4 linked regions of the Tamandua tetradactyla genome follow. The protein of the gene in region 1 binds, or shares a complex with, the protein of each later gene. Links are inferred from orthologs where the notes say so. Each region holds a gene or a part of one and is shown on either strand. Other genes may lie near its edges.

What was found.
Region 2: the proteins of F2 (region 1) and SERPINE2 are in contact, whole or in part, in a crystal structure (PDB 4DY7), measured with the Homo sapiens proteins. The link is inferred for Tamandua tetradactyla from reciprocal best matches to the Homo sapiens genes F2 and SERPINE2. Residues at the interface, in NP_000497.1 of Homo sapiens: His406, Tyr410, Pro412, Trp413, Trp455, Arg456, Glu457, Asn458, Leu459, Glu509, Thr510, Ile542, Asp562, Ala563, Cys564, Glu565, Trp590, Gly591, Glu592, Gly593, Cys594; in NP_006207.1 of Homo sapiens: Val225, Arg288, Ser355, Ala356, Thr358, Thr359, Ala360, Leu362, Ile363, Ala364, Arg365, Ser366, Ser367.
Region 3: the proteins of F2 (region 1) and F2R are in contact, whole or in part, in a crystal structure (PDB 3LU9), measured with the Homo sapiens proteins. The link is inferred for Tamandua tetradactyla from reciprocal best matches to the Homo sapiens genes F2 and F2R. Residues at the interface, in NP_000497.1 of Homo sapiens: Phe382, Arg383, Pro386, Gln387, Glu388, Leu389, Leu390, Cys391, His406, Cys407, Tyr410, Trp413, Lys415, Leu423, Arg425, Arg431, Thr432, Arg433, Tyr434, Ile441, Met443, Glu457, Asn458, Leu459, Asn506, Thr510, Lys517, Gly518, Gln519, Arg541; in NP_001983.2 of Homo sapiens: Ala33, Thr34, Asn35, Thr37, Leu38, Asp39, Pro40, Arg41, Ser42, Phe43, Leu44, Leu45, Arg46, Asn47, Pro48, Asp50, Lys51, Tyr52, Glu53, Pro54, Phe55, Trp56.
Region 4: the proteins of F2 (region 1) and SERPINA5 are in contact, whole or in part, in a crystal structure (PDB 3B9F), measured with the Homo sapiens proteins. The link is inferred for Tamandua tetradactyla from reciprocal best matches to the Homo sapiens genes F2 and SERPINA5. Residues at the interface, in NP_000497.1 of Homo sapiens: Arg383, Pro386, Glu388, Leu389, Leu390, Cys391, His406, Cys407, Tyr410, Pro412, Trp413, Asp414, Lys415, Trp455, Glu457, Asn458, Leu459, Asn506, Arg541, Ile542, Asp562, Ala563, Cys564, Glu565, Gly566, Asp567, Val588, Ser589, Trp590, Gly591; in NP_000615.3 of Homo sapiens: Gln241, Lys295, Lys296, Arg297, Thr368, Ile369, Phe370, Thr371, Phe372, Arg373, Ser374, Ala375, Arg376, Leu377, Asn378.

What each region holds. Positions count from the first base shown.
Region 1 is NC_135334.1:123,427,187-123,434,751, forward strand, and holds the start of F2 (prothrombin), read left to right. Parts: upstream 1-4,545; 5' UTR 4,546-4,670; intron 4,671-5,517; exon of another isoform or gene 5,518-5,526; 5' UTR 5,527-5,671; coding exon 5,672-5,732; intron 5,733-6,301; coding exon 6,302-6,465; intron 6,466-7,049; coding exon 7,050-7,074; intron 7,075-7,240; coding exon 7,241-7,291; intron 7,292-7,565. UniProt on the Homo sapiens protein: Thrombin, which cleaves bonds after Arg and Lys, converts fibrinogen to fibrin and activates factors V, VII, VIII, XIII, and, in complex with thrombomodulin, protein C. Functions in blood homeostasis, inflammation and wound healing.
Region 2 is NC_135329.1:199,776,820-199,783,715, forward strand, and holds the start of SERPINE2 (glia-derived nexin), read right to left. Parts: upstream 3,018-6,896; 5' UTR 2,822-3,017; intron 1-2,821. UniProt on the Homo sapiens protein: Serine protease inhibitor with activity toward thrombin, trypsin, and urokinase. Promotes neurite extension by inhibiting thrombin. Binds heparin.
Region 3 is NC_135347.1:55,543,331-55,550,686, forward strand, and holds the start of F2R (proteinase-activated receptor 1), read right to left. Parts: upstream 3,010-7,356; 5' UTR 2,981-3,009; coding exon 2,899-2,980; intron 1-2,898. UniProt on the Homo sapiens protein: High affinity receptor that binds the activated thrombin, leading to calcium release from intracellular stores.
Region 4 is NC_135338.1:55,677,794-55,684,786, forward strand, and holds the start of SERPINA5 (plasma serine protease inhibitor), read left to right. Parts: upstream 1-3,975; 5' UTR 3,976-4,108; intron 4,109-6,993. UniProt on the Homo sapiens protein: Heparin-dependent serine protease inhibitor acting in body fluids and secretions. Inactivates serine proteases by binding irreversibly to their serine activation site. Involved in the regulation of intravascular and extravascular proteolytic activities.

The sequences.
Region 1 (7,565 bases):
TCATTGTGGTTTTGATTTGCATTTCTCTAATAGTCAGGGAAGTTAAGCATCTCTTCATGTGCCTTTTTGCCATTTGTATTTCCTCTTCTGAGAAGCGTCTGTTCAAGTCTTTTTCCCATTTTGTAATTGGGTTGGCTGTCTTTTTGTTGTTGAGTTGAACAATCTCTTTATAAATTCTGGATACTAGACCTTTTTCTGATATGTCATTTCCAAATATTGTCTCCCATTGTGCAGACTGTCTTTTTACTTTCTTGATGAAGTTCTTTGATGCACAAAAGTGTTTAATTTTGAGGAGTTCCCATTTATATATTTCTTTCTTCAATGCTCTTGTTTTGGGTGTAAAGTCTATAAAACCCCATCCAAGTATAAGATGTATAAGATATTTCCTTACATTTTCTTCTAACAGTTTTATGGTCTTAGACCTAATGTTTAGATCTTTGATCCATTTTGAGTTAACTTTTGTATAGGGTGTGTGAGATGGGTCCTCTTTCATTCTTTTGCATATGGATATCCAGTTCTCTAGGCACCATTTATTGAAGAGACTGTTCTGTCCCAGGCGAGTTGGCTTGACTGCCTTATCAAAGATCAATTGTCCATAGATGAGAGGGTCTATTTCTGAACACTCTATTTGATTCCATTGGTCAATATATCTATCTTTATGCCAGTACCATGCTGTTTTGATCACTGTAGCTTCATAATACACCTTGAAGTCAGGTACTGTGAGACCTCTGACTACATTTTTTTTCCTCAGGATATTTTTTAACTATTTGGGGGACCCTGCCCTTCCAGATAAATTTGGTTATTAGTTTTTATATTTCTGAAAAGTAAGTTTTTGGGATTTTAATTGGTATTGCATTGAATCTGTAAATCAATTTAGGTAAAATTGACATCTTAACTATATTTAGTCTTCCAATCCATGAACACGGTATGCCCTTCCATCTATTTAGGTCTTCTGTGATTTCTTTCAACAATTTCTTGTAGTTTTCTTTGTATAAGTCTTTTGTCTCTTTAGTTAAATTTATTCCTAAATATTTTATTCTTTTGGTTGCAATTGTAAATGGAATTCTTTTCTTGATTTCCCCCTCAGATTGTTCATTACTAGTGTATAGAAATACTACAGATTTTTGAGTATTGATCTTATAACCTACCACTTTGCTGTACTCATTTATTAGCTCTAGTAGTTTTGCTGAGGATTTTTCAGGGTTTTTGACATACAGTATCATATCATCTGCAAACAGTGAGAGTTTTACTTCTTCCTTTCCAATTTTGATGCCTTGCATTTCTTTTTCTTATCTAATTGCTCTGGCTAGAACTTCTAACACAATGTTGAATAACAGTAGTGATATTGGACATCCTTGTCTTGTTCCTGATCTTAGGGGGAACGTTTTCAGTTTTTCCTCATTGAGGATGATGTTAGCTGTGGGTTTTTCATATATTCCCTTTATCATGTTCTATCTTTCTTTAGTTTCTATTATTTTGAAGTCTTCCTGTGCTGGTTTGAGATGTTATGTACCCCAGAAAAGCCGTGTTCTTTAATCAGTCTTGTCGGAGAAGACCTGTTATGGGTGGGGCCTTTTGATTAGATTATTTCCATGGAGGTGTGACCCTGCCCCTGCATTCAACATAGATCTCAAGTAGTTCACTGGAGTCCTTAAAAGAGCCAACACAGAGAACAGAGAGGTGAAACCAGACAGGACATTTGAAGATGCTTAGAGATGGAAGTCCAGAGAGGAGACCTCTAGAACCCTGAGCTGAAAGCAATGAAATCAGGAGCAAAGGGCCAGCAGGTGTTGCCATGTGCCGTCCCATGTGACTGAGAAACCCCTGACGCGATTGGCCTTTCTTGAGTGAAGGTATCCTCCTGTTGATGCCTTAATTTGGATATGTTTATTGCCTTAGAATGATAGCTTGTAACTTAATAAATCCCCTTTATGAAAGCCAATCCATTTCTGGTATATTGCATTCTGGTAGCATTAGCAAACCAAAACACTCCTCTACCCCACTCCTTTTATTTCCATGCCATGAATTTGTCAGAGAAATGGGTCATTTCTTCAATAGAACATCCCTCATTTTGTTTTTGTTTTTAATTTTTTATTTATTAAAAAAATTAACAACAAAAACATTAACATATCATTCCATTCTACATATATAATCAGTAATTCTTAATATCATCACATAGTTGTATATGCATCGATTTAGAAAAAGAAATATAAAGACAACAGAAAAAGAAATAAAACGATAACAGAAAAAAAAAAGATTATACATACCACACCCCTTACCCCTCGCTTTCATTTATCACTAGCATTTCAAACTAAATTTATTTTAACATTTGTTCCCCCTATTATTTTTTTATTTTTTATTAATTAAAAAAAATTACAAGAAACAAACATTCCCAACACATACACTCAGCAGTTCACAATATCATCACATAGTTGCATATTCATCATCATGATCATTTCCCAGACCTCATTTTTTGACATGGTGGTTGGCTTATTCCTTTATCTTCTGTGTTTCCTGTAAACTAGTAATTAAAGCTAGAGCTTTGATTCGATCCAGGTTCATTCTTTTAGGAAGAATCCTCCACAGGCAGTGCTGTGCATTTCCTGTTGTATCATATATCATAGTGCTACTATGTGGTGGGTGCTATGTACTTTACAAACATTATATATGCTGGGGGGTATTTAGTTTTTATTTCATTCCCATAAACTTTACAATCCAGCTCGACTTAGAGGACGATAAGGAAAAAAGTTAAATCCAAAGAATTGCAGCAAAGAAGATCACAATATTGTAGGATTGGAGAGTTGGGGGCGCTGTCCCCAGTGGCAGAAGGCATGGTTGGGGATAAGAGTCAATTCCTCAAAATCAAATCTACGAGAAGGCCCAGAGTCTTGCTGATCTTGCAGTTCCTGGATGCAGAGCTCCCAAAGCTTCCACAGCGTTCAGGCTGCCTCTCTCCTTGCCAGAGAGCGCACGCTTGCCCTCCAGGCTCAACTGCGCAGACGCAAACTGGGAACCGTTCAGGTTGGGTCCAGCATTTGCCCCAGACGAGATGCCAAGATGCCTATTCTTCAGAGGGAAGTTCTCATCCAATGCTAGGCCGGGAAGACCTATTCCCAGGACAGCCGGTCCTGGCACACAAACCGAGAAGCAGGACTCACAGCCAAGTCCCACGTCCCGCTGCTCCGGAGCTGGCGTGCGCCACTTGGGAGTACCGCCTGCCGACAGGCCGAGGGCGTGCTTCTGTTCGGGGCGATGGGACGTCTTGGTCATCTGGTAATGATCGCGGTGGCGGCGGCACAACATGTGGAAGTGATCACCCCCGCTGTGCTGCCCACTTGAAAGTGTCAAGGTGGGACATTTTATGCTGTATATATGTTATCACAATAAAAACATTTTCTCAAATAGAGGGCTACGACTAACTACCTCAGAGTGCCCTGTGGGTGGCCTGGGTCTGGGTCTGGGTCTGCCCATGCCGCGGCCGCGGCTCCAAATAACGGACCCTGCAGAGGCCACGGGGATCTGAGTTCAGCTTCTCAGCAGCCTCATGAGGCATGTAATGTTCTATTTCTGCTCTCACAGATGGGGAGACCCAGGCTCCGAGGCCCAGCCGGGACCCGCACGTTGGTCTCCCTGCCTTGCTCTGCAGGTGCCGCGCTCCCGGGGTCCTGGGATGAGCTCTGACCGCGGTTTCTGTCGGATTGGGAAGGTCTGGGGGTGGACAGAGGGCCCTTCCCCAGTCCCCCGCCCCCTGCGCAGGCCCTCAGTGCAGCGGCAGGCGCAGGTGTGTTGTGTCTCGTCTCCCTCCCTGAACACCTCCTCCTCTTGCCTCTTCTCTTTAGCCAGGTGACTTAGCATGAGCCCAGGCTGGTCCTCGAAGAAAGGAGGTGAGCCAAGGACCACCCGCCCACAGGCAGGAGACGAGTCTGGTCCTCACTCCCCTTCCCAGGAGCCCTGCCCACTTCCCTCCCTCAGTGTGTGGTTGTAGAGTAAAAGAGTGAAGTTAGATCACTTCGCCATCACACACACGCGCACACAGAGTCGGCCCATCATCATTAGTGAACAGGGGATTCAAATTAAAACCACAGTCACGTGGGGACACGGGTTCAGTCCCCGGTCCATGCACCCAAACCACGGCACGTGGTCATCCTGTGTGAGCTGGGGCGCGGGCTCCATGCCACTGGGGCTCTCGGCCTCGGGGGTGGGGCACAAACTCACGCAGCCGCTGAGGAAGACCCCTTGTCAGCGCTCCTTCAGCAAACACCCCCTTCGTAGCCAGGAACGCGCTTGTGAGCGGAGGGCCTTCTGTCTGCACTGGAGGCCGTGCGGGAGAACTCAACGCCATGGCGTTCTCAGGGCTGCAAACAGAGCCAGGCGCCCATCGGCAGAGGAACGGCGAGGACCCATCATGAGGTCCGCCCTGGCAGAGGAAAGGACTGAAGGACATCTACAACTGGACGCGCACAGAGATGGAGGCGGCGCCTGCATGGGCGAAACGGCCCGTGGTGGCGCAGTGCAGGAGTGAATCTCTGCAGGGGCGATCACTGGCTGTGTCGCGCGACACAGCAACACCTGCCAGGGCGCTGGGGCTGCTCTCTCTCGATCTGGGTGGCACTTACACGCATAACTGAAAATCGGAGCCGCACACTTACAACCTGTGGACTTTATTGTAGGTGAGTTTCACCCCGACTAAAAACAGGTGTGTGTGTACACAGAGAGCACGCACAGGGACTTGGGCCCCGTGGGAACTGAGCTGCGTGTGGGAGCCCCTGTCCCCACACCCCTCCGAGACCCCCAGATGGTGTGTCTGCAGGCCAGACGCAGAGGCCAGGCCCAAAGGCAGGCACAGCAAGAACCTGCCTTCCTTCTGTCCTGCTCTTTGTCCCTCTGTCCTAGTTAGACGCAGGACTAATATTTACCTTGCACACTGCAAACAGGAAGTGGGGGCGGGCTGGGGAGCAGCTGGGCATGTGGCCCATCGAGGCCTGGCAGGGGCCCCACCGCGGACCCTCAGGGGTGGGTGGCCCTGTGCCGGGTGGGCAGCAGGTCCCGGGAAGTGAGCGACACTAGGCCGCTGACGCCTCCCAGCCCATGACACACAGCCGCACTTCTGAGGCACCCGGAGCGGGAGGGGCAGGCCCGGGCCGTCTGTGCTGAGAGGCCACGCTGGTGCTGACTGTCCCTGTGTCCCGGGGAGCGGCAGGTGGATGCCCCGTCACACCGTCACCCTGCTCCCACTTCCTCACCTCTGCGCCCCCCGCCGGTCTGCAAACCCCTCCCAGCTGTCAGGCACTCATGCCATGTGGTCTCCTTTGGTCCTCGCACCAAAGTGCTGACCATGCCTGTTGGGCAGATGGGGAAACTGCGGCACACAGAGACTAAGGAGCACCACTGGCTGCTGGCCCTGGGAGCCTCAGCACCATCGTCTGACCCTGGCCCCGTTCCTGCAGCCACGGGCGGGAGGCTGAGGGCGCTGGTCGCACCACCCTTTCCTCTGACTCCTTCCTGCACGTCCATCCCTGGTTCCAGGCCCTCGGGCTGCACAGCGGACGTCCCTCTGCTCGTCCCCACGGCCCTGACCGCTGACCTCTCCCTCTGGGCCGATTTCTTCACATTAGTTCACCATTAACCCAGAGGCATCAGCACGCGCCGCAGAGTCCCGAGTAGACCCACCATGGCGCTTGCCCGCGGCCTGGCCCTGGCCACCCTGCTCAGCCTCGTGCCCGGCCAGCGCGGTGAGGGGGCTGGGGTCCGGGCAGGCGGGGGCTGCGCCCTGGGCCGGGGTCCCCACGTGGGACGGGGGACACAGGTGCCCCCCAGCTGGTTCTCGGCCCAGGGTACCCAGCTCAGGAGCTGGGGGGTCGGGGGGGTCGGGGGCTGGGGGTCGGGGGGCAGGGGGTCGGGGGGCAGGGACTCAGGGCTGGGGGCTGGGGGTTGGTGGGCCGGGGGCTGGGGGCCTCCACGCTGCGCCCCAGCCGCTTCCCGCGGGCCATGTGGGGAATGTGGGTGACTGTTGGGGTGGGGAGGGGCCCATGAGCTGAGCCTGGCAGCCTTCCTGGCTCTGCTGCCCACTGGGGAGGCCCACAGGGCAGGCGGGCTTCCACCCTGCCACCTGCCGCCGGGCACCATGCTCCCCGAGGCTGTGCCCGCCACCTCCCTGGGACCATGCCCATCCCCCACCGGGCCATGCACACCCGCCCCCCCAGAAACATGCCTGCCCATCCCCCTGGGGACCATTCCCTCCCCTCCACCCGGGGCCATGCCCTCCCGTCCCCCGAGGCCATGCCCGCCGCCTCCTCCACAGTGTTCCTGGAGCGCCAGCACGCGCTCTCGCTGCTCCCACGCGCCCGCCGGGCCAACAGTGGCTTCCTGGAGGAGCTGCGCAGGGGCAGCCTGGAGCGGGAGTGCATGGAGGAGCAGTGCAGCCGCGAGGAGGCCTTCGAGGCCCTGGAGTCCGCCAGCGCCACGGTGAGGGTGGAGGAGGGGCGGCCAGGGACCCCGGAGCGCGCCCAGCCCCGCACCCGCCTAGGCGCTCAGGGCCGGCGTGGGTGGAACCGTGCACATGCGCACTCCGCGCCGGGGCCGCCTCTGCCCTGGCCACGCGCAGCCTCAGCCGGGCTGCACCGAGGTCCCCGGGCTGATGGGGCCATAACAACGGCGGGGCCTTCCTGTCCCCAGCCACCGCCCGCACGGCCTGCGCCCTGGCCCTGCCCGTGTGGCTGCTCCTGTGCCACCTTTGCGGTGTGGGGCTCTGGGCCCCTGGCCTCTGCAGCCTTCCTTCCCGACCCCGGCAGGACCCGGCCCAGGGTCCCCGCCCTCCCTCACCTGCCGACTCCAGTGGGGGATCCCTTGGCAGGAGTGGCTGGAGGTCAGGGGTTCCCTCTCTTGCCCTCCCCTCCATGAGGAGACAGAAGTAGGAAACTTGGCCACAAACCTCCCCACAGCCTGAGCCCTGGTGTCTGGTAAAGGGACAGGAACATGAGGAGACATAAGTTTACTGCAAGCGAACACAAGGGCCCTGGTGGAGCCTCACCCTAGCCCTTACTTTTCAGGATGCATTCTGGGCCAAGTACACAGGTGGGTGCTGCGAGCGAGCCCCAGAGGGGAGAGACTCTTCTGATTCATCTGTCCGTCATTCATCCATCCATCTGTCCGCCTGTTTCTCAGCGTCACCTCACCCAACTTTACTCCACCCCATCCTGCCCCTACCCCAACCCCAGAGACGTGTCTGGCTCTTTTCCAGCTTGTAACACGGTGAGAAAGCCTCGGGAGAAGCTCGTTGAGTGTCTGGAAGGTGAGGAACAGTTGTCGGGGCGGGGCGGACAGCACGTGAGGGGGGCGCGAACCCCAGGGAGCTAGGCCTGTGCTGGGGCGAGGCACAGATAGGCGGGCTGGGTGCGCCCAGGTGGGCGGCCTCTACCACCGACACTGACCTTCTGTCCCTGTGGCCGAGGGTCAGCGGCTGCCCACTGCAGAGAACCAGTGTAGGCTCCCAGCCTGGCAAGCTGGCCCGTTGGAGGCCGCCCCCTCCTTCAGCCTCCCTTCCTCTGCACCTGTCCAAGCCCCCG
Region 2 (6,896 bases), on another chromosome or scaffold:
GTACCGAGGGGAAAGGGGACAGTGAAAACTAGAATCAGTTTTGGACTTACTATACTTTGTGTTTTCTTTTGCCTAAAGGATACGGGTAAGTCCACTAGACTGTAGGTAACACAGGAGGATCTCTCAGCTGGAGATACCGATTTGGGACTCCCTTTGCACTGGAGAGAGCTGAAGCTGTGGCAATGAAGTTCACCCAAAGGCTCTATGTGGAGTGAGAAGAGGGGTGAGGACAGAGTTCTGGGTAACCCCAGGAGAGAGCAGAGATGCTAGTGAGGCAGGAAGAAAACCAGGAAAAGATGACAACTAGGGAAGATGCCACGGAGAGGTCTCGAGGAGAAGCCACAAGATCACTTGCTCAGGAAATTGCCAGGGTCTCCTCCAGCTTGCAGGGAGCAGAGAATGAAGGGCAGGGTAAGGAAGGGGGTAAGAAATTTAAGAAGCATGGGGAGATATGGTGATAACTAGAGATGAGGTAGGAGGATGCAGGGTCAAGGGAGTTTAAGGCATTTTTAAAATATTGCAAAAATGAAAACAGTTCAGCAGCAGGAAGTAGAGATAAAACAGAGAGGAGAGCAGGATTCCTGAAGAGAAGGAAGCATGGGGACTCGGGACACAGCTGGAGACATCTCAGGGAGGCTTTCTCTAACTTTCTCGAAGTTCCTCACCCCAACTTGATTTTACTTCTGTCATTGTTTAATTCTCCATTTTATAATATATTTATATTTGCTTTATTTCCTCCCACAAGAATAACAGTTCCAAGAAAGCAGGGACCTGCTATATTTACTGTATATCAGGGCCCAGCAAAGTGCCTGGCACACAGGAGACACTTAAGAACAGTTACTGAATGACTGAGTAGACACAGCAAAGTTTGTAGGTTGGGAATGGGGGACAGAGGTTGGGGCATGGAGAGGCTTCCATATGGTGGCTTTTATTTTTCTCGGTAGAGTGGGCCAGGAAGTCACCTGCGAAACACGGAGGGAAGGGATTGGAACTCTCGTGCATGGCAGAAGAGTTACAACGGGAGTATGAGTCTGCGACCTAGAGGCATAACAGGCTGTGATTCTGAGAGATGGAGACAGTGGACTTCCCAATTTCAGAAGCTGAGCATCTCTGGGCAAGGGTGAGACCTGGAGGTAGTTAGTGGACTAAATACTATGGAGTACTTGGAAGTCACCGGATTTGAGATGGTCAAGGAAATGAGAATTCAGAGTATCATCACCCAGATGGACTTTGGGACTGGAGGAAAGGAGAAAGCCCATGAGCCAAAGTACCCTGTCCAATGGGAGAATGATGGGCTGGCAGAGGATGTCAACACAGAGGCTGGCTAGAGCACCATCATTTCCAATTCTACTGCCTCAAAACAATCTCTAACTAGTAGCTAATCATCCACGTGTGGAACTGGAAATTAACCCCGTTTGGAGACTAAATTTTTATCCTTTGAAGTTACACTATGATGTGAAATTGACAGGAGGGAGACATTTTCTTCATGGATTCTTCTTCTTTTTTTTTTTTAAGAATAGAAAATGAATGACATCCTCATAACCTTCAGCTCTGTACCCTACAACATTTTCAAACACTATTTTAATAAAGAATCATAAAAGCTGGGGGGTTGAAAGAAACCTTAGATCATTTAGGCTAACACCTTCCTTTGCATAGCTGTAGGAAATTTTTGCTCAAATACTGCACATAGCACACAATTAGTGATTCAGATATGCAGATAACGTTTAAACTACCTTCAATTTTTTGAAGTGAGCTTTAGCTATACAAATTAGCAACACGTACATGTCTTCCAATTATCTGTGCTCAACTTTTCTTATAAAATCTCCGAAGTACAAAATTATCACATTAATTGTTCCAGAACAGTTTTCGGAGAAGTAAACTGCTTCCCGACTTGAAAGAGGAAGTCAAACCTTTAAACACCTTTTTATGTCGATGCTAAACATAAGAAGGCTCTCTTCAAAGTAGTCAAAACAAGCCACAGCAGCATTTAAGTGGCTTCAAGACCTACACGTAAAGATTATTTTTCTTTATTTAAGAAACCAAAACCTTCAATAGCATCTTCCATAATAACTGGAGGTGCAGTGTTGTCTTATGTAATAGAAGCCCTCCCTCCCTGCTCGGTTTGTAGGCAAATTAAACACCTAATTCTGCCCACAATCTCCGAATACTTTCACCTTACCTGTAATCACTGAGCAGCACTGCAATCCCCATTGCTACAGGTGAAAAAAGCAAAGACCTACTCAACAGGCTTAAATCGCTTGAAAGGGATCAGTTTAAGGGCTCTCCCCCAAGCCGCTGGTGACCCCCACCCCGTTCAGGGGGAGGTAACCTATAAGAGCCCATTTGTCTTTCCCCATCCAGCTGCGCACACGCCAAGTGCACCGGGTAGGGGACGCCCGCGAGTACCTGGGTCCCTCAGTTTCAGGGTCAGGGGCGCCAGCTAGGATGGAGACAGAGAAGAGCCGGGCTCGGGGTCTTTCCCCGCCGGCTCCAGGACTCCCAGCTGCGGGCACACCTGGACGCCAAAGCTGGCGCGGCCCCTCCTCGCCCTGCCGGGTTTCTACTCGGGGATCCCAGCGCGGCGGCACCCAGCCTTGGCAGAGGGAGGCTGAGAAAGTTCCCTCCGCTTCGACGTCAGTACCTTCCGGCCCCTCTCGCCCTGCAGCCTCGGGGCCCGACGCAAGGTCGCGGCGCGGAGCCGGCGGCGCACAGAGCCCAGGGGACAGACCCCAGAGCAAAGGGCACCGCCGACCGCGCCCCTCCGCCCCCCGGGCGCCCGGGATCGTCCGCGGGAGTGGCGGGGCGCGCAGCCCGTACTCACCGCCCAGGATCCCCAGGTGGCGGCCAGGAGAGTGGCGCGGCCGGAGCCGGAGTCGGAGTCGGAGTCGGAGGACGGAGAGCGGCGGCAGCGACGAGTGTCCGGGAATGAAAGAGGCGGTGGCGCCTCCAGACGCACGCAGCTCCGTGCAGCCCTGCGCCGCTTGAACTGGCCGGCTGCGGCTCGGGGGCTTTATCGCCGCCGCCGCGCCGGCCCCCGCCCCTTCCTGCCGCCCCCGCCCCCGGCCGCGACTCCGCCTCTGGCCCGCCCCGCCCCGCCTTCCCGCCGCCTCCTTTGTGTGCCAGCGGCCCGCAGCGCCCCCGCGCCGGGGCTCCGAGGACGTCCCCGCGCCGGCCGCGGCCTCCCGCAAGGCACCGCTGCGGGTCCCGGTCGTGGGGTTGTGCCCGGAAAGCGCCGGGGAGAAGAACCGACCCCGACGTGTGGCGCCTGCCGGGGTCGAGCTGCACGTGGGTCGCCTGGGTCGGCGGCGGGGTGGGTCGGGGGGAGATGAGGGTTTGTGGCGCGTCCCTGGGACCCACGGCATATTGTCTTGGCTACCCCTTGGGAGAACCAGGGAGACGCCCCGGAACAGTGCCCTCCGGCCCCGGCTGGCGTGGATAACGGTGCCAGGGCGCGGCCGGAGGGGTACAGGGCGGCCGTCTCGGTGCTTCGCAGGGTGCCCCAGAGCCGACTTCTCCACCTCGCGGAGGCTCTCGGGGGACTCCGTAAGCAGATAGCAGACAAGGGAATCCAGAAAGCTCGATTCCTAGAAGCGGGTGACAGCATGAGGTATCTGCAGAACCCTCGGAATCCAACCTTTACCTCCCGGTAATGCACCTGGTGGGACTCTGTGCGCCGCCGAGACATGCCGACCTCAGAGGCCGGCGACGAGTTACCGTCCAGCTCCGGCTCTCTTACCCCCAACTCGCTCAGTTCCTCTTTGCGCCAGGTTAGGTTTGTGGAAACCCAACTTTAATGACATGACTGAGGTTTCCCTGAGTTCATGAGTGCAGAAGGCCCCGAAACCATGAAAAGAGTCGTGGTAAATCTCCTTGGGACACAGCCTTGAATTAAGGTTGGATCTACTAATAGAGCAACTTGGACGATCGATTTGCATTTACTACGGTAGGCAGCCGTGCTAGACAGTGTGGTGGGTGTCTGCGTGGGGATGGGCGGGGAGTGGGGGGGTGGCGATTTGCTTCTAAAAGTCTCAACCGTGGGCCAGTCTAAGGGAGTTCACAGCCCCTAAAGAATAGAGAAATGAGCTATGGAGGTTTGAGCTTAAAATAAGAAGGATACACAAGTCACAAAGGAAAATTGGTTTCATCATTTTACATGATGCCTAATATGCATATTCAGTTACGGAGCAGCACATAACATCCATTTTCCTCGTGCCCTCGGCCTTTTCTTGTTCCCAGTATCTTCTCAGTAACACCTTTTCATCCTTGAGGTCACAACTCAAATGTCATCTCTTCAGGGAAGCCTTTTCTGACCACTTGAACTAAATTCATTTCCTCCCCTTTCCAACTTACCACTTTTTTCGTGGCCCTCATCATATTTGAAATTCCTTTATTATTTTTAGCTCATCTCTTGGTTGCTTTTCTTCTATGCTCTGTGGTTAGAATAGAGTCTCCCAGAGGGCAGGGAAGAGAAACCTGTTCAATGCTGTTCCCAACTCACCCCTTCCCTAGTGCCAAAAGCCATACTACACATCTATCAGCTGCTCAACAAATATTTTTGACCAATGGATGGACAAATGCCAAGTTATGATGAGCTATAAGTGCTGCTTCAGCTACAGTGCTGAGGCCTGGTGTAGTCAGGTAGGGCAGTTGAGTGGAGCTGGGAAATATTCAGAGGAGATGGGGTGGGGAGAGCTGGGGAAGAAAAGGTCAGAGGTGGGGGTGAGCACTGTGTATTTGGGAAGCTATAGGTAGCCTTTTCCCCATGCAGAGGTGGGTTGGTCATTCAGGGAATTAGTGGGGAAACAAACTGCGATTGGGAAATGTGGGTGAAACCAGATTGTGAAAACCTGCCTGATTCCCTGTATCCAGTTCTATCTGAGTCACTTTTTTTTGAGGGGGGGGGGGTGCATGGGCCTGGAATTGAACCCTGGTCTCCTGCATGGCATTCTACTACTGAACTACCCGCGCACTCCAACATTGACATATTTTTAGCTGAGATAATTTTAGGAAGAAATAATACAGAGTGTATTGTATACTTTGCCCAGTTTTCCTCAAAGGTAACATTTTGCAAAACAATTACACGTCACAATCAGGATATTAACCTTGATACATTGATTAATATCTCAATTACTTTTGGTAATTATTTGTAATTTTTAATTTTTAGTAAAGTTATTGTAAAGTCAAATTAGTTTTTGAAAGCAATGTACCTAATTTTGTTTTATAGGGTTTCAGTCTCTTGCCTTTCATTGACTCGGTGTTTTGGGGGGGAAAGCTTTATTTTTACAGTTAGAGCATAATTAAAACCTGGATTCTTCATCTATAAAATACATTCAGAAGTCTTCAGAACTTATCCCTTTTGTTTACATTTTAAGGACTGCCATTCACTTCCCTGTTCTCCCCAGTATTTTTGAAGGAACATTTTGAGCAATATTCTACATGACTTGTCAATTCTGAAATCAGACAGGATGCAGTGTTAACTAAGACACAGAACTAAACCCAACCACCAATGCTCCTTTCTCTCTGCTTGGACAGTGGATAGGACTGCCGATGAGTGTCTCCCAGAGGGAACTGACTGAAGACAAAGACCCATTCTGCCAGTGGGATATGCTGGGAATACCAACTATGCTTATTATGGGGAGGGCAAGGCTGGTGTTGGCTGGCTCTCCCTAGGCCAGCCAGAGGAGACAGAAGCAATAGCTGAAGCTACACTCTTGACCTGATGGCGTCAAGTGACCAGCAACTTTGACCCCAATCTTTGTGGGGCTGCCCCAAAGAATCTGTCCTCTAACCCCAATTGGGTGCTCATAGGCAGCAGGTTCTTCCTATAATGTTATATCCTTGTTGAAATGTATTTTTCATGGCTTTGAACTTCCAACTGGCATTTCCCTCCTATCTCTATCTCAGTCCTATTTGAGAAATCCAAATCATTTAACACTCCTACCTGGCTCTGTCTTTGCAACTTCACCTTCACAGCAGAATTTCATTTTGTCCTTCAACTGCTTGGCCTGTCTTAATCTTCAGAGAGAGCTTCAAATTGTTTATTCCTTAAAAAAAAAAAAAATGTAGCCTGGCATTTAGCCAGCTTCAGCCAGGCTCTGAGTTTGGCTTTGTGTTCATAAGCTGCAGTTGGGAGAAACACAAGAAATGCCTAAACAGAATAAAACAAATGATCTATTTAGTCTTGTTTCCTCTCTTGGAAGAGGGCCAGCGTTGAGTGCCTTAGAGGAAGAGAATCCCCCCACCCTGCCCCCACGGTTCTTCCATGCACCCAGACAATATGACCTTGTATTTAAGTAAAAACTGTCCTTAACTCCCAATGGGTGATGGTGTTTTGTCTGGAAGAATGACTGATGTTATGATAATAAGATGATAGCAGTTGCTCATCTCCTATCTAACCCCTATTTAAAACTTATTATTATATCATCACATTACTTGTTACACAACATTATAAATGTACAGGCTGTTACGTAAGATTGTTTCAACCAGGGGGAAAGAGACTGGTTAAACAGTTCACCTAAAAAATTAGTTTCTGGGACTATTGCTTTGGTGTAGTTTTTATTTTTATTATTATTATTATTTTATTTTAGCTTTAAAAAGGCATTTGCCTTTTTCTTTCCTATTAAAGTTGGCTTTCAAATAAATCCAATTTCCTCTTTCTCCAGTTTCTAAAACAGATTAAACCAGAGCATCAATTTGCACTTAACCATTGTCCTCACTGCTTTTCACCAAGCGCTTCAGAGAAAAGACATTACTGAGTGCTGGGCTGGGTATTCTTTTCTACATGTGTTTGGTCAGATAAGATAGAGAACCCCAGGTTCTGAGGATCATTGTGATACTGACTCCTTTGAACCACACTGTGGCTCCTCTCCTTTCATTTCCCAAAAAAACAATAGGTG
Region 3 (7,356 bases), on another chromosome or scaffold:
GTATAATTCGGTATTCATGTATCTAAGTGAACTACCTGTATCACTGCTTTTTTTGTGGTTTAATTTATTCTAAAAATGCAAAAGGGGTCACTAACAAGCTCCTCCAGCTGTGCTTTCTGCAACTTACTGCTTTACCACCTTTGAACATCAGGATGCTTGCTCATCTCTAGTCTTGGGGAAGACTGCCATTCTCCCAGAGTTCTCACAAATAATCAATTGCCCTGTCACATCCACATCTGAACATTCAGTATCCTGGGATGGGATGTCTTCAGTCTTGAATTCATTTTAAGAAATGAAATTTCTCCGACCACATCTTAATCATTCCTTAGTGAGTCATCAAGAAATATTTTAAGTCTCCCAGGCACTGTTCTAGAGGGTATGAATACAACAGTGAGACGAAAGTCAGCACAATCTCTTGCCTTCGTGGAGCTTTCACTCTAGCACCAGTCTGCCTCTCTACCACTGTGAAATCCCACCCTGTGACATCTGAGTTGCCCACATGGGCTAATGGACGGCCCCCTGCTGCCGGCCTCCTTCACCACCAGCTGCCCTCCCATCCACGCAGAGGCTGCCTTGACCCTTTCAAATTTCTCTTTATATTGGTCACTCTGGTTTCTCCCCAAACCCCTGCTTTTCAGAGTTCCACCCCCTCTGACGCAGGCGCCTGCCAGGGCAGGGCCCAGTCCTCGGGGTGGGCCGCAAGCCAGTCCCCGGGCCCCCCAGTCTTTATGAAATGTACAGACACCTCTTGTCCCTCCTGGAGACACCGGCCCTCTTTGATGAAGGCAGGTCACCACGTCCAAATTAGCCTCGACAAAGGACTGTAGACTGGTTAATGAACTAGCGAATTTCTCAATAAACATGTGCTGAGTGAACATACGTGTTGCAGACTCTGTAAAAAATAAACGGGTACAACTTGGCTGGGGAGATGCGGTACCCCCAAAGCGACAAGGCCAGGGCTGCCCAACCGAGGGGGAGCAGAGTATGAGTGCTGCGGGGATGCTCACGTGGAAGGGGGGCTGGCCCCAGGGGGCTTCCTGAGGGGGGTGTCTCAGCCCAGTTGGTGCAGGGTACAGCTGCCCATCCAGGGCAAGGCTCAGCAAGGTGGGGGAGGGGACGTGGACTGGTGGGAGCCGCCCTGGGAGAAGTACTTGTATCTCCACGTGGTATATTAGTGACTTAGAACTCTTTAAAGACAAAGCATTGCTTAGTGCTTGCACCCAGGGTACAGGGCACTGAGAGTCCGGTAGTACTTGGTGTGCTGTACCCCCCCATCACGCCCCCGGCCTTGGTTTCACTGTTGGCAAAAGGGGATAACATCCATCTTAACGGGATCTCCAGAGGGAGAAGTGAGATAACCTAAGTGAAAATGTCTCACGGCCCAGGAAATACAACGCTTAATGTACGTGTGCTCCTTTTCTTGTCTCAGCCTCCTATCTTCTTTCCCCCACCAAAGTGGTCACATAATCCAGGAGAGATAAATTAGACAGTGTTTGTTCAGCTGTATGTCTGTCCTTGTGTCTAGCTACACTAGTGTTATGAGACCTGTGGCAGGAACCGGGAGTCCTTAACCTCACTTCCTGAGGACAAAAAGGATCCTGGGCAGCCACTGGGAGAAAAGGGGCCTCAAGCAGATGCAGCATTTGGGTAAAGTAGTTCTCCACCCCCACATGCAAAAGTCAAGCAAACATTTGTATTCTCAAAAGCATGTCCCGAAATAAAGTCGGGCAAGTTACCAAGTAGTATCTGAAATTCTGTGTCACCACAAATAGTTTCTCAGTTCTCTGCATTCCCCCAAACATTGGCAGAGGAAGGGTCCTGGATATGCACACGTAGCCTGGCTGCTGGTACACTCTGGCCCCAGACTTATTTTTCCGGAAAGCATCTCCCAGAAGCCAACATGGAGAGCAGAGAAAACGCTATGCCTTTTCCCTCTTCATCCAGATGGGACTAAACTTTTTTTTGTACAAAAAATAACATTTTTTTTGTAAGAGACACTATTAAGCACACGCTTTCGTGGACAACAAGAAAACCAGATTTGGAATTTGATCCAAGCTGAAAAAATGGCAAAAAGCTTATAAAGTACTACGGTTATCAAAGGAGTCAAAAATGTTTCCTCACTTTCCAAGCAGTGCGTTGACGCCATGAACACGTCTCTGCCCTTCCCAGGGAGTCTGGGGGGAAATACATTCATCTATTTGCTAGGCAGCCGGACACTTAGAAGCACCAGCGGTGGGACGTCCGGTCCTGTGCGGTAAAACAGACCGGGCAACTCGGAGCAGGTCAGACACTGGGTCCAGGACTCCTGGGAGACCGGTTCTGGGGAGCAGCGGCCCCTTTGCCTCAACTCGGAAGAAATGGCTTTTCGGTGACAAGCAGGACCTTCCCCAGCCCGCAGCCCGGCCATCAGGGGCCGCAGGTCCTCCTTCCCTACTCAGCGGGGCTCTCCACGCACCCCTTTCCTCGCCGTCAAATGGGCAAGCCGCAAACTTCCCACCAACAGGACTCCCGCGGGCCGGCACGCCACTTCGTGGGGGGCGCGGGGGAGAGACGCAACAGGAGACGCTTTGTCTGGGGGGGCGCGGGGGTCCGCGGGCGAACGGGGAAACCCGCCACACCATGACCGACGCCGCGGGGCCCGCCGGCTCCCGCAGCCCCAGCCGGGCCGCCCCCGCCTCCGCCACCTGAGGCCGGCCGGACGCCGCTGGAGGCGCGGAGGGGTGGGCACGCCCCCGCAGATGCGGTCGCCGGCTGCGGGTCTCAGCCTACGCTCTCGATCGGCTTCTGGGGGGAACCGCGGCGGGGGCGCAATCCTCCGCCCCCTCCTCCCGCCCCCGCCCCCGCGCGGGCTCGGGGCAGCCGGGCCCCGGTGGCACCCGGAGGACCCCGACGGCTCACCTGCGTGGCGGGTGCGGGCGGCCAGCAGGGCCCCGCACAGACTCAGGCCGGTGGCCACGAGCAGCAGCCGCCGCGGCCCCATTGTCCCGAGGCTCCGCGCGCTCTGCGCTGCCCGCGCGGCTCCGGGAGGCTGGACCCGCCCCCGGGGCTCCGGCTCGCCCCCACCCCTTCCTTCCGCGGCTGCGGGGCGGGTCGCGCATCGCTGTCGGCCGCAGGAGGCGGAGGTTCGGGGCGCCTCCCCCCGGGGCGGGGTCCGCAGGCGGCGCAGGGGCGCGGGGAGAGGGGCGCGCGGCCGGGGGCGGGTCCCCATCGCCCAGTGGGCGCCCGGACGCGGCCCTCGGCCTCCCCCCGCCGGCTCCTCCCCCAGGCCCTCCCCCGCGAGCGCCGTCCTCCAGCCGGGTGGGCCCGGGACCCCAGCAGCCCGCCGCGCCAGCGGGGATTTCAAACTACCTATTTTTTCCTTTGGAAGCTCCGGGTGACTCAGCCTGGCGGGGTCTTGGGAACGGGACCATGTGATCTCGGTGGCCGCTCCTCGGCCTTTTATCCCCCTCCTGGGTTGCAAAGATAACTGTGAACATTTGGTCAAGGATGCGCCCATCCCCGGCAGACACCCCTGCGACCCACCCCCGGGTCAGACCCCCCTGCATCCCGCACTGTGCTTCACGCAGAGGGCCGGACCTCAAGCCCAGAACAGTGACCCAGTTTTGGTATTCAGCAGAAGTTTGAAAGTCAGTTTTGTTTTTGAAACTTAAAGATAATGAATTAAAAAGTTTACACTGTAGCGAAAGGGTTGCCTTTTAAGGAGAAGGGGCTTTTAAGGTTTGGCGGAGTGGTTGATATTCTTTATTCGTTTCTCTTTATTTCGCAAAATTTGACTTTGCGTGCGTCTGCCCCTAAGGCCAGCCCTCGGGCCGGGCGCTAGACTCACTCGCGGGTCTTGGGACGGGAGAGGGACCTCTCTGGGTGGGGCGGGACCGGGGTGTATAGTCTCTGCGCCCGGGGCAGTGACAGAAGTCTCCTGGGCAGCGGTGCCCAGAGGGCGAAGTGGTCTGGGCACTCTAAAGGCGTTCCTCGTTCTTCCTAGGGCAGAATCACAAGAGTTTGTAGAGTTTGGTCGCATTCAAGGCCCGGGTCTGGCGCGGCCGTCTGCGGACGCTGGGCGAGGCGGGCGGCAGGAGACGCGGCCGGGGCTTGGCTGCGAGCCCCTCTGCCGGGCGGCTCTTCCAGGCCACGAGGGAAGGGGGTCCCAGCTCAGGCTTCCAAGGCTTTCCTTTTAGGGAAGCACCTGTTACGTTACTAAACTGAATTAGTCAACGAAATAACGTTACTTAAACCTCTCCCAGCTCAATTTTCTTAGGTAAACATATCCAAAAGTAGATGTGAACCATTAAAATGATCCATCATCCACTCCCTATTAACGTATAACATTTTCATCTTTCTTAAAATGCTATTGATTTTAATATTCATTTTAAATTTATGTACCACAGGAAGGAAAAATGCTGCCAATTAAACTGACATATTGATTGTAAGAACAAACATTCCAATTTTAGGGTTGTGTTACTATCAAGAAAGGGTATCTTAGACTCAATGAAATGCAGTATATAATATAAAAACAAGGAATACATATGGCGGTTCCTCAGAAAGCTAAGTATAAAACTACCGAATGACCTGGCAATCCCACTTCAGAAGATTTGAAAGCAGGAACTTGAACAGGCATTTGAATGCTGACGTGCCTAGTGGCATTATTCACCATTGTCAAAAGATGGAAGCCACCCATAAACAAAATGGGAGATATATATATATATATACACCATGGAATATTATATATATTTTGCATCACTCTGTTGGGAGGTTTTTGATTACTGATTCAATTTCTTTACTTCTTTATTTCTTATTGAATCAATGTTGGTTGTTTGTGTGTTTCTAGGAAATTGTCCATTTCATCTGGTTATCCAATTTGTTGGTGTACAGTTATTCATAATATTCTCTTATAGTCCTTTTTATTCCTGTGAAATTGGCAGTAATGCCCCCTTTCATTTCTGATTTGAGTTATTTGTGTCCTTTTTTACTTTGTCAGTCTAGGTAAGGATTTGTTAATTTAATTAATCTTTTCAAAGAACCAATTTATGGTTTCATTAATTCTTTGTATTGCTTTTTAAAAAAATAATCTTTATTTCATTTTTTTCCTGCTCTATTCTTGCTATTTCCTTCCCTCTGCTCACTTTTTGTTAAGTTTGTTATTCTTTTTCTAGATCTTCTAGTTTGGAGGTAAGGGCTCCACTTTGAGACCTTTCTTCTAATTTAATGTAAGCATTTAGCGCTATAAAATACCCTCTCAGCGCTGCCTTTGCTGCTTTCCACAATTTTTGGTATGCTGTATCTTCATTTTCATCTCCTTCAAGACAATTTCTATTTCTTCCTCTGTTATTGATTTCTAGTCTCATTCCATTGGAGAAGATACACTCTATGATTTCAGTATTTCTGAATTTATCAAGACTTGTGACCTAATATACAGTTTATCCTGAAGAACAATCCACGTGCACTAGGAAAAAATGTGTGTTCTGCTGCTGCTAGGTGACACGTCCTATGCATATCTGTCAGCTCTAGCTGGTTTAGAATCTCAATTCTTCTGTTTCCTCATTGCTCTTCTGTATAGATATGCTATCCATTATCGAAAGGAGTGTACTGAAATTTCCTATTAATAATGAACTGTCCATTTCTCCCCCATATCTGCCAAAATTTGCTTTATACATTTTTGGGCTCCTCTGTTAGGTGTTCCTATATTTATAATTGTTTTGTCTTCTTGTTGAACTGACCCTTTTATCAGTATGTAGTGACCCCTTTTCTCCCTTTAATAGTTTTTGTCTTAACATCTATTTTAAGAGAGAAAAGCGCTCCACTTGCAGAGAGCCCATGCACCACCAAATGGGTTTTCTATCTAGAAAGGGGCAATGGCTGAGTGATTAGCTCAGCCTCACCTTCCTGTTGATGTTATTCTTAGAAAAGTGGGGAGGGCTGCTGTTAGAGGGAGTCATACTCATACTGGGCTCTACTTATTCACCCCCCCCCCCCCAGGGAAAAACTGTTCCACTTTCATCCGTTCTTTTTTTTACCAGATTTATTTAAAAACTAGTAAGCTGAAGGGGACTCAAAGATGTTTTAAAGTTCAATCATTGCAAGCATTTTCTTTGGAAAATCAGACTCTACAGCAGCTTGCTTAGTTTCCCATAATAAAAAAAAAAGGAAAAAAAATGTCTATTTTATCTGACAGTAGGGTTGTTTTCCCAGCTCTCTGTCTCTTACTACTTGCATGGTGCATTTTTTTTCTGTCCTTTTACTTTCAACCTACTTATGTTTTTGAATTTACGGTGAATCTCTTGTAAACAGTATATTGTGTCATGCTTTTTCAACCATTCTGCTAATCTCTGTCTTTTGACTGGGGAGTTTAATCCATTTATATTTAAGGTAATTTGATAATACAGGACTTTCCTTTGGCATTTTGCTATTTTGTATTTGCATGTCTTACGCCTTTTTTTTTTTAAACTCAATTCTTCTGTTAATGCCTACTACCGTATTTATTTGACTTTTTGTATTGTATTATTTTGAGTCCCTTCTGATTTCTTTCTGAATATAATTTTCATGTATTTTCTTTGTGGTACATGTGTTAAAATTTAACATCCTAAGTCTGTAACAATCATATTTTATTTGATACTGACTTATCTTCAATAGCATACAGATACACTGTTTCAATACCCATCCACTCTCCCTACTTTTTCTTGCATTTGTTACAGATTTTGTCTTCGTACATTGATTTCCAATAATTGATTTATCATTCTTTTAGTGCATTTACATTTTGCACCTGTAGGAAGCAAGAAGTGGAGTTATATAACAAACAATATGATACAATACTACTGGAATTTATAATTACCCATATGGTTACCTATACCTTTGTTTCTTTTTTGTTTTTGAATTTCTTTTTAATTAAAAAAATTACAAGAAAAAGACACAAGCATTCTTAAGATATGCTCATACCGTTCTACATATATAATCAGTAATTCACAATATCATCACTTCATTGCATATTCATCATCATCTCTTCCTCATTTTTTAAAGAAAGTCTTGCCAGATACAAAATTCTTGTTTGACAATTGTTTTCTTTCAGTACTTTAAATATTTTGTACCACACACCTTCTTGCCTTGTATCCGTTTGTTCTTCCTCCATGTTTTTCTTTTCTTTTTGAGTATATTGCGCTTCATTATTTTGAAGTTTCTGGCCAGTAAGTCCAAGTCTGGTCCTCACTGTTGTGGTTTCTGGATTTTTATCTTGTTCCTTTGGATGCGCCATCATTTTTTGTTTCTTTGCTTGTTTTGCAATCTTTTGTTGCACGCTGTACATTTTAATATTTTGAAGTGTTAACTCTGTAATAGACCCCTGGGTTATTCCTTAAATTCCTTAAA
Region 4 (6,993 bases), on another chromosome or scaffold:
AAGTAATGGGTTAATCTCATCTTTCCAAAAGTTATTTCATCTCAAACTGACTTGGGAGTGTGTATTTCCTATAGCTGCTATAGTACATTTCACCAATTTAGGGGAGTAAAACAATGCAAATTTATTCTCTTTCAGTTCTGGAAGCCAGCAGTCTAAAACAGGTTTACTGAATCTGAAACCAAGGTGTCAACAGGTCTGTGTTTGTCCTAGGGAACCAAGGGGAGAATTTGTTTCCTTGCCTTCTCCAGCTTCTAGAGGCCACCTGCATTCCTTGGCTTGTGGTCCCATATCATACTTATCTTTTCCCCTGCTGCTTCTACTGCAACATAGCCTCTTCTTCCTTTGACTTTCTTGACTCCCTTCAGGAAGAACCCTTATAATTACACTTAGGACCCACTCAGATAACCCAGTATAATCTTTGCATCTCAAGATTCTTAACTTAATCACATTTGCAAAGTCTCTTTTGTCATATAAAGTACATTCACAGGTTCCAGAACTTAAGGGATTGTTCTAGTTTGCTATCTGCTGGAATGTGATATACCAGAAATAAAATGGTTTTTAAAGGGAGAAATTTATTAAGTTGCAGGTTTACAGTTCTAAAGCCATGAAAATGTCCAAATTAAAGCAAGGCTATAAAAATGTCCAAATTAGGGCATCAAAAATAGGTAACCTTCACTCAAGAAAGGCCTAGAAAGTTCAGGGCTTCTTTCTCAACTGTAACATTCCCAAAAACCTTGTGGGCTTCTCATGCATGCTGTGGAGATCCATGAGATTAGACAAGGGATCCTCCACAGATCTTTCCTGGATAATGCCACCGCTATTTTTGGTTTCTGTTGAGTTGTTTGAGATGATCTATGAGTCATAGCCTAGTTACAGAGCCCTCTGTGGGAATTGCTTACTCTGATCTTTTGATCCTGCATAGGCGCTATGCAAAATGTTGTCCATCCACACACTCGGCTTTCTCTGCAGAGCACGCTTTCCTGACAGTGAATCTCCTAATTTTCGTATTTTTTGCAATCTGCATAGGCTGATAATTTCCCAAGTCATCCAGATCTGATTCCTTTTTGCTTAACAATTCTTCCCTCAATTTGTCTCTTTCCTCTCACATTTTACTAGAAGCAGCAAGAGGAAACTAGGATGCACCTTCAGTGCTTTGCTTGCAGATCTGCTCAGTTAAATATCCAAGTTCATGCCTCACACATTCCGCTTCCCCCATAACTATAGAATACAATTCAGCTAAGCTTTCTGCCACTATATGACAGGATCCCCCATCTTCCAGTTTTAATAATGTATTCCTTATTTCCTTCTGAGCCCTCCTCATCAGACCTTCTAATGTTCATTTTTCTATCAACAATCTGTAATGACAATTTTGTTATTCTTTTAAGATGATATCATGACCTTAAAAGATATCATGATCTCTTCCATGACCCTCACTCCTTCTGATCCCTAAAGAACAGCACCTGTAAAATATTTCTACCAACAGTCTATTAAGGATTATTTAGTTACTTTCTAAAATGACATAGATTTCTTCTACCTTGCTTCTCACTTCCTTCTGAGTCTCCACTCACAGAAATTTTAACGTCCATATTTCTAGCCTCAATATTCTTTAAGCCTCTATCCATTACCCAATTCCAAAGCCACTTCCACATTTGTAGGTATTTCCTACAGCAACAGCTGGCTTCTGATCTTAAAATCTGTATCAGTTTCTAATAGCTGCTACATAAGCTACTGTGGGTTTAGTGGCTTAATTTATTTTCCCGTAATTCTGGAGGTCAAAAGTTGAGAAGCATTCCACTGACTGAAATGAAGGCATTGGCAGGGCTATGTTCTTTCTGGAGGCTATAAGGGACAACCTGGCCCTCATTTTGCTAGCTTCTAGAGGCTGCCAGCATTCTTTGGCTAATAACCTCATTATATCACCTTTTCTCCCTTACCTTCTGTCATTACATCACTTTCTCCTGACTCTGATCTTCCATCCCTCTCTTACAAGGATCCTTGTAATTACATTTAGGACCCACCTTGATAAACCAGGATTATCTTCATAGTTCTAGACCCTTAATTTATTCACATCGTTATCATCTCTTTTGTCATATAAGGTAACATTCACAGATTTTGGGCTTTAGGAAGTGGATCTCTTTGGGAGGCCATTATACAGCTTATGACAAGTGTGAAACAACAATTTCCATCCTATAGGACATTGTGATGGTTAAGCGTATGTGTCAACATGGCTAGTTATGGTGTCTAGTTGTTTGGTCAAGTGAGCAGCAGCCAGATTATTACTGTGATGACATTTCATGGACTTAAATCATGGGTCAGTTGATTGCATTTATGGCTCATTACTTGTACAATCAACAAAGGTGATTGCCTTCAGGAACGTGAGAAATCTCAACCAAGCAGCTGAAGTCTCAAGAGAGAACTGATGATTTCTGCAGTCAGAATGAAGAATTTCTATGTCAACTTCAACTACCAGATTCTTCTGGAGAATTTTTTAAAACCTTCGTTGGAGTTTCCAATTGCCTGCCCTATGGAATTTGGACTTGTCAATCCCAACAGTCACTTGAGGCGACTCCTATAATAAATCTTATAATATTTACATAATATATATCTATAATAACTTCTTGTCAGTTCTGTTTCCTGTAGGACTCTGACTAATGCAAACATTGATTAGGAACCTCTATTTAATAAGATAAAGGACTGTTTGTTAAAAGAGTCCTTTGTTGGAAAGTGAAAAACCTAGACATTGATGTGTGACACTAATGTGTGACTTTAGGCATATTCCCTAACCTCTCTCTGTTTCAATTAATTCAATGAGGATGATAATTGTATCTACCTCCCAGTACTTTGAGAGGACACTGAGTGCAAAATAAGGACCCACTGTTTAAGAATGACTGTGTTTGTCTCTAAATTGAAGCTGAGCTCAGTGCCTCCTTGTAGGCTTGTTGCATGGACTAAAAGAGATAATGTATATAAAGCATTTAGCTTAATGTGTATTCCATCTTAGGGTCTCAATAAATATGATTCTTATCATTCCTGGGAAAATTCAAAGATTCCCTAAACCAGACCCAAAAATTATGTAGAAGAAAAGGAACAGACCCAAAAATTACGTAGAAGGAAAGGAACAGTGATTGTGGAGTGACCTGGTTTGCTGGACATCAAGATTGCTTCCTCTGGGTAATACTGCTTTTTCCCCTTGCCATTTTCACATCCCAGCAGCACCCACACAGGTTTCCTGGATCATGGCCCCAGACAGTGCACAAAGGCGGTAGGAAGTTCTAGGCATGGGACCTCTGGAAATATAAGAAAGATTTGCGCCAATATCCTGCACTAATGTCTTGGAAATACTCCCCGAAGTATAAGGCCGATTTAGGAATCCTCAAGTGCAAGATGAAAAATGACAGTCCAACCGAACCCAAAGAAATCCCAGATTCAGTCCTTTTCTAAGTAAAGAGCAGTGTCAGAGTCACCGACCCTGGCATTAATCATCACCCAGCCCCACCCTTGGTATATGACTTTCAAAAGTCCCTTCATCTTCTGAGTCTCAATTCCATTGTGGAACAAGGAAATGATGCAATGATCACTTCAATTCAGCCATTCTGAGGCTCTCTCAATCCATTTAATTTAGACCAAAATCTGACTGTTATGGTCTGGGAGTCCAGGAAGCACAGGAAACCTGCAGCCAGCTTGGGCTCAAGCCCCCACTCCACTGGATCTACAACAAATCAGCTACAGGGAGCGAAAGAATGGAACCTAGTGAAAGTGAGAGTTTGCCGGATGGTGTCCCTTTCTTTGACTCTGGAATGCCAGCAATTGGTAGCTTTTTAAGCCATGTGTCCCGGGAGGGCCCTTGCCATTGCAGGCAAACAGTGTCCAGTGTGGGGATTGCAGAGCTGTGAGCCACTGGCCTGGGCGGCCTTGTCCAGCTCTTTCCTCTTGGCTGGAGGCCTGAAAGGGCTCACCAGGGCAGGCCAAGGCGGGGCCAGGGGAGGGGTGGAGCAGAGCCTGCCGCCATCAGCCACAAATACTAGCTCTAGCCTGCCAGCCCTCTGCTCTTGACCCAGCCTGCCGGACCGCTGCCTCGATTGCCTGCCACGCCTTGCCACGGGACACCGTAAGTACAGACACGTGGAGTGCAGAAAAGAGGTTTTATGGGCTTGAAAAACATGCATGGAAGGGTAAGGAAAGGACCCTAGAATTATGGGATTTGGAAGTATCCAAGGGTGAAGAAAGCCAGAGTGGGAAGAGCCCTCTGTTATGGTGGGGATCGAGCCCAACTTCCAGGCAGCAGAGGTGGACACCCACTAGCTGTGTGATCTTGGACACGATACTAAAACTGGGTGAGGCTCAGTTTTCTCAGCAGTAAGATGGAAATAATTATCCCCTGTGCATGGTGTGACCTGAAGACTAAATAAGGCAAGTCGTCCTCACCTGGACTGGTGTTACCCTCAGGGAACATTTGGCATGTCTGGAAACAATTTTTGGTTGTCACAACTGGGGGTTGGGGGGCTTACTGCCGGCATCCAGCAGGTGGGGGCTGGGAGAGGCTGCTCAAAGGACCCTCCAGCGCACAGGACAGCGCCCACTACAGAGAATGATCTGGCTCAAAATGTCAACAGTGCTGAGGTTGAGAAACCTTGAGATAAGGTCGTGGGGACAAAATATCTGGCAGACTGGAGGTGCTCAATAATGACAACTTCCATTGGTTTTTGTGCCTGGGGTTCTCAACCCTTAGAAGTCAGGGATAATTGTGAAACTTAATCTGCTGCCCTGAGATAAGACCACGCAGCTCTGTCCTGGAGGCTGCCCCTCAGCAGGGTTGCAGTGGCTCCTCAGGGGCTCAGGATGCTGTCAGGACGTTTGCTAAATAAACAAAACTTAGACATAAATCATTGGAGTTTTCACTTTTTTTTTTTTTTTACTCTAGAGCCCTTGGCAAGCAATGACACAATAAAAGGAGACCCCTTCTCTCCCCCTGACCCCCACTAGGGGACCAGCATCCTCATGTGCAGTACAGGAATTCAGAGTTGGCTTCAGGGAGGGATTACTCGAAATCCCTGGAAATTGAACCCCTGGGCCAGGGAGACGCCCTACGGGAGCCTAGCCTGGTTCTGCTGCCCTCCGTAGTGCCCAATGAGTGGTCTCACACCAAGGAGTTACAGAGTCAGGGACTGGGTTTCATTCACTCACTCACCCACGCATTTGTTCATTCATTCCACAAGGCTATACAGAGCACGTTTCCTAGACTGAGGAAGGCTCAGGGCTCAGAGCAGCACAGACAAGGGCCCTCCCTGCAGTGACCACATATTCTAGTCAGGGAAGGGCCCAGAGAAAATGAAGCCAAGCAGACCCCCAGGGATGAGCCTGGCCCTGGCACTGCGGGATCAACAATGCCTTCCTGACCAAAAGGGCGAGGAGAAGTATAACAAAATAAGGTATCAGTGGGTGAGAATGTTCAAAAAGAGTCGAGATGCTATTCTGGAGGCTATTCTTACTCAAGCTTCAGCTAAATATTGCTATTTATCATGGTTTGTCAAATCCCAATCAATACCATTCCTGCCAATCTTAAAGAGCACCTTTGTAGAACATCTGAGAGTCTACAAAGTTTCCATGCACTATGATTACTTTCCAGAAAACAACTTCCAGATGTTTCCTAGGCCAGATAAGTCCTGAAACCCAGAGGGGCCAGCCTCTCCAGAACATCAACTAGTTCCATCCCCCTATCCCATATTATCAAAAAAAAGTTAGAATAGGCATAACCCCAATACTCCTAAAGGTTGGGAGAAAGATCAAAGGAGAGGGTGGAATTATAACAGAGAAGATAGGATTTAACAAAAGAGTATGACTGCTGAATCATTATATTGATGTTTCTTTTAGTCTCCAGTGTCTTGGAGCAGCCAGAAGGAAAAACTTAAAATTGTGGAATTGTAACCCATACCAAACTTTGAAATCTGTTCTATAACTAATTGTTGTGGTGTGCTTTGAAATTTATACCTTTTTTGTTTATATGTTATTTTTCACAATAAAAAAAGGAAGCCAAGCAGTGCATATGTAACTGCATAGTTCTAAGTGATGGAACTATGGGAGAAACACTGAAGGGCTGGGGTGGAGAATAACAGTGGAGGGAAGGGAGTCAAACTAGCTTTGACAGGGCATCACAGAGAAGTATTTAAGCAGAGACCTGAAGCCTCTATTGTGAATCTGGCCATGGTCAGAGATTTCCTGTAGAGAGAATGGGATGTGTAAAGGCCCAGGGGCAGGATAGAGAATGCTTAAGGAATTGAGAAAAGATAAAGTGGGCCTAGGCAGAGTGAGTAGGGGGAAGCAGGTGGAGGTGAGGCTGGCAAGAGCCAGGTAGAACCAGGTCACATAGGGGCTAGCATATTTTAACACAAGGCAAATTTCCTTTTATGTGAAAACCTTGGGGTAGCAATGGTGTTCGTAAGTAACCTGTGCTCTGAGCAGGTTCATGTTCAAAGGAGATCCCTTGAAATGCTGTTTGCAGAATTGCTTGCTGGGGCAAGAGGGCAAGCTACTGTGGTGGTTCAGGTAAAAGATGAAGAGAATTTCTTTAGGATGATGACAGGGAACATGGAAAGAGCCAAGCAGATTTAAGACATATTTTAGAGATGGAAATTGACAAGCCTTGTTGATGGGCTGGAAATGGAGAAAGAGGGTAAGAAAGTTTCCCAAGGTCACTTTTTCCACAAAGCTCTGTTTCTGGGTCTCTAGAATCCAGTGGAAAGTAAAACTTTGTCATTCCCTCTCTGCCTGGGCTGCAAGTCCTACACCCCATATTGTAATCGGCAGATATTGGACAGGCCGTCCTCAGCTACACACGTCCCACCATTGAGTCCAAAGTGGGACTTTGTTGTCAGACCTTTGTAATAAAAGCCTACAGATCTGAGTGCATGGATGATGGGGAATCAGCGGGAAAACATGCCCACCCCTTCCCCCCTACCCCACCCTCCACCCCATCTCCTGCCACACATCAAGTCA